Daphnia pulex: one gene and its partner. The protein of the gene in region 1 binds, or shares a complex with, the protein of each later gene. Links are inferred from orthologs where the notes say so. Each region holds a gene or a part of one and is shown on either strand. Other genes may lie near its edges.

Region 1 (4,610 bases):
GGTTGGCCGTCTTTTGTCGTCACCACTTGAAAAACATGGAACCATCCATCCGGCTAGCTACAGGCAGCAGCAGCAGCCCCCCAACGACTGGGAGCGCTCATTAGGAACGGATGTTGTGACACGCGATTAAAAGCCATCCTGAATATACTGTAAACATTTCACTAGTTCATGTCATATCATTCACATGAAACATGTCCTCCCCTGTGACATCAACCATTTCAAAAAGAAATTTTTGAATTTATTTTCATGATAAGCAGATGGAAGAACGCCCCAGTCCGTCCTTGTTGAAACTTTTCCCCTCGTTTTTTTTTTAGTTTTGATAATGAGTCCAGCAGGTCGAATCCTAAGGTCCTGGCAACAGCAAAGTTCGTTTAGTTTTGTGCTGGTTGCCTTTTAACGGCTCTAGGAAACTTTTTGGCGGACGCCAACAACTCCTACCGCGCTGCTATCGTGTAGAAACTCCATTAACGTGTACCGAATCCAATAGTTGGATGAGCAATTCCCCGGTGATGACTGCAAACGGATGTAAGCTTTTGACCACTTGGTTATTTGCTTTCAAGTCCCCGTACGCTCGCCTGAATGACTTCCCATGTATACAACCTAATCTAGATTTCTTCCGACTAACATTGAAAATGTCCACCACCAACTGTATACGATTACAAGAATTTTTCGGTACCGTAATTAGTAACATTGTCCCCTGGGTCTTGGACTAGTTTTGGGTCACGTTATTAGAATCTTCTCGAAAACTAATTGCAATTCTTGGTAATTTGAACATATATTTTTCTTCTTCTTCTAAATATTCCTGAATCAAAAGGGGGCGACAACAGCTTCTGCAGCGAACAGGGAAAAGATGAGACAAAAAAAGAATTCGGAAAGTTTTGTGTGTTAACAAAAAAAGAGAAACGAAACAAAAGAAGCGAGGGAGGACAAACACGAATGGCTTTTGTTTCTTTGTCCCCAGGTATTTTTTCCTCTCCACCGCTCATCCAACACCCGACATGAAAAAAGAAATTCCGCACATGCACACGCACAGGCACACGAAAAATCCTTAAATTGAAAGCGAAATTCCTCCGGATTGTATTAAATGAAACATTATCTTGATTTTCCCCTAGTAGCGCAATTTCAACCTTGAATATTTTCACCACTCTGCATCACCGTTGGCCTTTTGAAAGACGTAATCGCGACCGTTAATGTTCATGATGCCGTCCTTGAGATGAAACTTCCACCTGTTTCGACTTCTCGTAATCTACAAATAGAAAAAAAAGTCATTTAAAACATTTCAATTCCAATTCGAATGCTAAAATTCAAATCCTTGCCTTGTCGTACTGGCACACGACGACGTTATCAGTTTCAAATAACACTGAGGGATCATCATCAGTCACATCGTCTTCAGAGTTGAGTGGCTCCTCGTCTGCGTTCTCTTCGTTGTCTGCGTCAATCTCCTCGTCGTCATGATCGTCCTCTTCTTCCACGTCGTCATCGTCATCATCTTCAACATCGTCGTCGTCGTCCGAAGAGTCTCCGGGTCCATCCAACTGTGTGACTCCTCCATTGTCAGTTCGCGATTGGCTCCGTGCAGCTGTCGACTACAAAGAAAAGTAATAATGCATTGTACACACATTATTATATACACTTTCGAGTGGATTCAATTTCAACCAATGGTACCTGCAACGCGTTATTAATGTGCTGCTGCAAGACAGTCGTGGCCATTTCAACTGGAAGAGAGAGAGCCGCCGTCACAGCCGGTGAACTCAGGATCGTTTGCAGCTGCGCTCCCGCTGCGCCACCTGTGACATTATTACAAATAGTAAAGAAATTAGATTGGAGCTAGTACGAACGAGATTCAATTGGGAAATAACCTTGAAGAGCATGAGCTGGAACGTGAACAGTGATGCTCTTGGCTGCTGTATGACCTGCTACTCCAGCCTGAGGAGGAACAGTGATTTGGACTGGCACCGTCCTTACTGTTGTCGTAGCAGGGGCTGCAGCTGCTGCTGTTGTTGCTGCACCTGTAGCTGCATTAGGGGTAGTCACTGGGGTTTGGGCTGCTGCTGCTGCTTTAGAGAAAATAAAAACAAACAAACAAAACAATTAATAATAATGCACTCAATGTAACAGTATACCCAACTACCTGGTTGCTTTGCCGTAGTGGCTGCCTGTTGAGGTGTAGAATTGTTCGCAGGAGCTGTAGAGCTAGCCTGCTGACCTGCTTTTGACGGCAAAGAAGACCCTTTTTTCATACATGATAAAGTCTCATAATCGATATTGGATACTTTGTTGCAGTTTGCTTTGGAGAGAAGTTTCAGCAGGATCGGTCACAGGGTCGATTGCTTTGCTGGACTGCAATTTGTTTTCCCAATTCTGCTTCAATTCGAGAAGTACAGCCTCATCGATTCCTTCGTCAAGAAACGCCTCTCGAACCCCGTTGATAACATCTTCAATAACGCCACGATACAGTTTCGACTACAAAAAAAGAAATATAAAAGTCCTTAATTAGACCAACGAGGAGTGAGATCGAGCTCGTGGAGTGGAATCGTCAATGCAACAACAGTTTCCAGGTACTATTCCCCATGAAATATTATCATAAAGTAAAAGGTAAATAAATACCACGAGTGCCTGATTGGCGGCCATTCTTTAACGAAATTGAATTTTATTTGATTTCAATTCCGGGAGGGCTTCGTTCAACAGGAAGCCGACATGAAAACTAAGACTGACGCGGCAATATATATCGAAATGCCCCCGATGGCAGCGCCACGAAGCGTGATTTTGGCTAAGCATAGCATCTAGCGGTCGAAAAAAACATTCTTTCTGCTAAAAGTAAAGCCGTTTGTTATCGTTTCGACACGTTTGAATCGAATGAACAAGAAACGTTTTTATTAGCGGCCTAAGTCTCAGTATTCGTTGATTTTCATCAACGAGATGGATGAAAAATCCGAGATTTTGGTTTTAAACGCCGAAGATGAAGATACCTTCCAAAAGTTGTATTCCGAAGGTCTCAAATATAGCAAGCAATGCTCGGAAGAAAGCATGCCAGTTCCAAAGTTCTATACCAAAGTAAGCATAACTTCCAATTGATTCCCTATAAATTTCTTATGTTTTTGTTACACAGCTTCCTAATCATGAAAACATGATTAGCCTTAAACTGAGAGAAGAAGCTAGAACAGCATTCCTTCAGAAGAAGAGCAAAGAACTCCTCGATAACAATGAACTGCAGGTTTGTTAATGTCATTGCCAGTGTTTGTGCTACTGGTAAATAAGATTTTCATCCTGTCTTTAGAATCTCTGGACTTTACTTGACAAAAATCACAGCCCTCCTGCTGGTTCTGAGCAGATGATCAATTATATTGATTTTCTCAAAGTAGGCAACATAGCTGGTCCAAAATATAAGTAAGACATGTAAATATTTGATTGGGAACACCAAGTTATTTTTTGAATTCCCCTATACAGAGCATTCTTTACACCAGATGTATTTGCAAGGCTATTGCAGAATGATATTCATGGCAGAATATCAACCATGGCAGTGTTCAATTACATCATGAGGAAAGTTTGGTTACAGCAAACTAGAATTGGTCTTTCATTATATGATGCCACAGGACAAGGTCTGCTTACTGAAATGGTGAACATCAGCAATATGTTTTTTGTTTTTGCAATATGTAATTTACTTATCTATTTTTGTTTTTCCCAGGATTTAGAGAACTACATAACTGAACTTATCCCAACATTGCCACAGTTAGAAGGGCTTGAAAAGTCATTCCATTCGTTTTACGTCTGTACCGCCGTACGCAAGTTCCTCTTTTTCCTAGATCCATTAAAGCTAGGCAAAGTCAGGATACAGGATATTCTCGCTTCTGGTTTTCTGGACGAACTTTTAGAGGTATTTAGTATATTCCTGATTCTTTTGTCATTCTTCTCGCTAAAAATATTATAATTCATCAGCTACGGGATGAAGAGCTGCCCAAAGATGCACAGGATTCAAACTGGTTTTCTGCGCCCTCCGCTCTGAGAGTCTACGGTCAATACTTAAATTTAGATACCAACAGAAACGGCATGCTTTGTCAGGAAGAGCTCAGACGGTAATTTACCATATTTCAATTTGCAGTACGTACATTTAAGATTTTTTTTAAATTTAATTTTCAGATTCGGAACTGGCACGTTGACGCGAGTTTTCATTCAACGAGTATTCGAGGAGTGCATGACCTATGAGAAAGAAATGGATTATAAAACGTACTTGGATTTCGTATTGGCCATGGACAATAAAAAGGAACCACAAGCACTTCAGTATTTTTTCCGTTTGTTGGACGTCAATCATCGAAACCATCTCAACACTTTTGACCTCCATTTTTACTTCAAAGTATTAATTTCCTCATTTGACCTTTTGACTTTCTTATCTTGAAAAAAAAAAAAATGCTTTGCAGGGGGTTCAAGAGTTGATGCAGCAGCACAAACAAGAAGTCGTTGCTTTTGACGACGTCAATGATGAGATTTTCGATATGGTGCGTCCTGCCGATCCGTCAAAAATCACTTTACATGATTTGATTAACTGGTAACACACAAAGTTCATTTAGAATTTTTTTAGAATAAGATTGTCATTGAACGTTTTCTGGCTCAGT
Region 2 (3,368 bases), on another chromosome or scaffold:
ACCTGGCTAGAGTGGCCCAAAGTTTTGGTTTCAAAGTTCCACCGACAGTAGACCTTAGTATGTTTAATCTTATCTGTTGGCCTTGACATTTCAGATTTCACAAAATTTGACTCATACATTTTACTTTGTAGACATGCGTAGTACTAAAGCTGACCGCCCTCGCAAACGCCAAGGGAACTTCGGGGAGACCCATGGAGGAACTAAGCACCGTACAAAAGCAAGCACATATCGTCAAGTTGGACAGAAACCAAGCGACAAACGGCAATTTTCTCGATAATTTTTCTGACTGTTTTATACGTTGTCCACAGACAATAAATTTGCGTATCCAATATTTTCGTTCAAGCTTTATTTCTCTAAATATTGTAATGGTAATTTTCCTTAAGAGATGGCGGGCGGAATTCGTCGCTCATTTGTTTGAGATGGAAATAAAAATAGTTATTTTTCTGAAGGGTATCGTAGAATTAACCATTAATGAATATTGTCAATAGATCGTGAGATGATATTGATAATAGACTCCTAGAATAAATCACTTCAGTAATCAAAACACTTTCAACTGGTTTTAGTAATCTGAATTTACCCACAAATAACTATGTCTACCATTTCAAGAATTCCTAAAAAAGTGCTCACTCTTAAGCAGGTAATTCCATATTTATAGCATTAACATATCACATTGCAGAGCTTCTGATAAAAAATTATTCTCTCTCAGTTCATGCTTAGGCAAGAGGTTTTGAATTTATACAGAGAAGGTAATTGATTACTTAATATTAGGGTACATAGTTCTGATAACTATTAAACAAGTGTTTTGTTCATCAAGTTCTACGCACAGCTAGAAAAGTAGATAGGCATCAAAAAGACGAAATCATCAAGTGGGCTAGGAGTGACTTTGAAACACACCGATCTCACACTAATGAAGTATTAATTAGTTTGTTTTCATTTGGAATTTATTTCACAGAATTTTATTTTGAAGGAAACAATCAAGGGACTTCTCATCAATGGGAGACAAATGGTGAAAGAATTACAAAGTACAATTAAAAAGACATCTTAGTGTATTATTGTATGTTGGACTCAGTCATTGATTACAAGTTCGTCTATTCCCCAATCTTCATAACTTCCATCAGGAAGATAGCGGCGAATGATTATAGGAATTTTCTTCTGCTTCAATTCTTTCATTGCAATTTGCAGGGGATCTGTTTCGCCTTCCAATTCAACCATGACTGGTGCACACATTGCTATTTGTAATGCTCTGGTCCCTAACACCCGTGCCCTTTCATACCTAAAAATGTAAGACTTGTTTATAGTCTTTCATGAGCTATGCATCTTTCAAGTGTTACATACTTTGTCATGTAAGGTGTTGTAATGCGCTTGGTTTGCAGTTGGCCAGCTCCACCTTCACCTTGCTGAAGTAGATCAATTTGTGCATCATCGTCTGGCTGTTCCATTTCATCCATGTTATCATCGTCTTCAGCATCTTCAAAATCGTCGCCACTAAATAACAGAAATTCAACATGTTGTACATGTGATTAAGAAAAGAAGAAAAACTCCAACTAACTATTAACTTACTCGTCGTTCTCAAAGTCATCGTCTGCCATTATTGTTTAAAGGGTAAGATAATCACAGTGAAAAGTGAAAACTGAGTAAGTTAACAAGACCACGAGATTTCCAGTCAAATTTAAGAGATTTGCATTTGCTACAGCGTGCAGACGATGGTGCCCTAGTCAACCGCCACCGCTTTGTCGAGTTGTCGGCCGAGTCAACTTCGGCGTTCGTTCACCAGGTGGCCTTGCGTCCCTTTCTTGATTCAAATGTCGATTCATAAAGTATACGACTATACGTGTGGACTGTGGATACTTTATGGTTGGATCTCGAATGGACGATTCATGGTAAAATACTAAAATGCATCCATTTGTAACAGGGTATAAGAAAACAGTAATTTAAAATGGAAAATGTCAGCACATCGTTGCTTCGTCGACAGTGTAGGACAGTCCAAATGTGTATTAAATAGCTGGGATATTAAGTTGTCGAACGGTTGCAGAGGGTCGATCTCATCAGAGGCGAAAGTAAACCGGTGGCCGTTAGGAGGACGAGGGCAAGAGATCCTACTTGGGATTTCCGGTGAAGTTAAATGTTTTTTTCCAACTTGTAAAAGATGTAATGTTTTACAGCAATTTGCGTGCTGATTATGTCGCCGTCGTACATGCTCGCACGTAAATGCTTACGCTGGTATCTAATTATTACAACTGCCGGACTGTTAAAATGACTGAGATTTTCAAATTCTGGATTCGATTAGAAAATGTTGCGTTTAATGATTCACCTTGTTTTGAGACTTGTTATTACAAACTAAATGAATAAACGATATAGTAATGTACATTAGTAGGTGGGAGCCCTGGGAGGGCATTCAAATGAGTCGTTAGAACCACGCCGTCGAAAGGCTAATCACGAATACGATTGAAACGAGCATAAGGGGTGTCGATAAAAAGGCGGATGTTCAATGAGTGCCGGAAGTTGATTCAATAATATCCCGGATCTACGTTGAAATGAAGAATAAGAGCTCAGTCTGTTGTAACCGTTTGGATGACCCTTTTCTTTTGGCATCCCTCAGTCGAACCGAACGATATGATCCCGATCTGTTTCCACCTGCCGTCCATCTGTTTGTAATTCATCGATCCGCCACTATCGCCCTGCCATATTTGCATACATTTTAAAAGTAAATTCACTAGGATGATTATGCGTTCACTTACTATGCAAGTTCCCATGTTGTTGGCGCCATCACTGGTGCACATAATGTCCTCCTTGGATGTTGTCGCCATAAGTTGTCCTGCAGTCGTTATTGGAGATGAGCCGGACCGTCATCTTATGTAACACTGGGCTTATACGTGGACTACCTGAATTTTTGAAACATTTAACTTTTATTTTGGATTCTCTCGTCGTCGTATGTTGAACGGAATACCGTCGTAAGTTGTACCCCATCTCGTGACGGTAACCATTTCGTTGACGTAATCAGGTTCGTCGATACCGGAAATTGACAGACACACTGGGCGGATGTACTCTGTACAAAATCTTAAATTTAATTATAATTTTAAATTAAAGAACACGAATTAATGATACGTGAATATTTGACGGCGCTTTTGAGTTTGATGAGAGCAATGTCTCCTGCATCGGTGGCAGGATTCCAGGCACGATGGATGAAGGTTTCGCTATTGGAATACAATTTCCGGTTGCCTTCCGACTCTGCCGTGTGATCGTGAACCCCCAGATAGACGTCGATGTAGGCCTATCTCACCTTTTGTCTAATTCATAAAAGATGAATGAAATTTTCACTTGAACCTCGTTGATAATGATGGAATTTTTACCCTGGCACTACAAGACAG

Evidence for each region. Proteins that work in one complex are often made in the same cells at the same time.
Region 2: transcription initiation factor IIA subunit 1-like (region 1) and DNA-directed RNA polymerases I, II, and III subunit RPABC2-like share a complex: the UniProt entries of both Homo sapiens proteins name them as parts of the TBP-based Pol II pre-initiation complex. The link is inferred for Daphnia pulex from reciprocal best matches to the Homo sapiens genes GTF2A1 and POLR2F.

Annotation. Positions count from the first base shown.
Region 1 is NC_060018.1:12,589,834-12,594,443, reverse strand, and holds transcription initiation factor IIA subunit 1-like, read right to left. Parts: upstream 2,755-4,610; 5' UTR 2,632-2,754; coding exon 2,608-2,631; intron 2,464-2,607; coding exon 2,274-2,463; intron 2,231-2,273; coding exon 2,132-2,230; intron 2,061-2,131; coding exon 1,860-2,060; intron 1,788-1,859; coding exon 1,666-1,787; intron 1,587-1,665; coding exon 1,317-1,586; intron 1,247-1,316; coding exon 1,139-1,246; 3' UTR 757-1,138; downstream 1-756. Other genes in the region: serine/threonine-protein phosphatase 2A regulatory subunit B'' subunit gamma-like, read left to right, coding at 2,920-3,054, 3,110-3,214, 3,278-3,387, 3,448-3,616, 3,686-3,874, 3,937-4,073, 4,138-4,351, 4,416-4,543 and 1 more. UniProt on the Homo sapiens protein: TFIIA is a component of the transcription machinery of RNA polymerase II and plays an important role in transcriptional activation. TFIIA in a complex with TBP mediates transcriptional activity.
Region 2 is NC_060023.1:6,840,981-6,844,348, reverse strand, and holds DNA-directed RNA polymerases I, II, and III subunit RPABC2-like, read right to left. Parts: upstream 1,748-3,368; 5' UTR 1,590-1,747; coding exon 1,561-1,589; intron 1,486-1,560; coding exon 1,336-1,485; intron 1,274-1,335; coding exon 1,066-1,273; 3' UTR 1,046-1,065; coding exon of another isoform or gene 968-1,045; 3' UTR 924-967; downstream 1-923. Other genes in the region: ATP-dependent RNA helicase DDX18-like, read left to right, coding at 1-57, 132-277; LYR motif-containing protein 2-like, read left to right, coding at 590-637, 707-746, 815-912, 968-1,045; chymotrypsin BII-like, read right to left, coding at 2,767-2,882, 2,948-3,046, 3,106-3,271, 3,362-3,368. UniProt on the Homo sapiens protein: DNA-dependent RNA polymerase catalyzes the transcription of DNA into RNA using the four ribonucleoside triphosphates as substrates.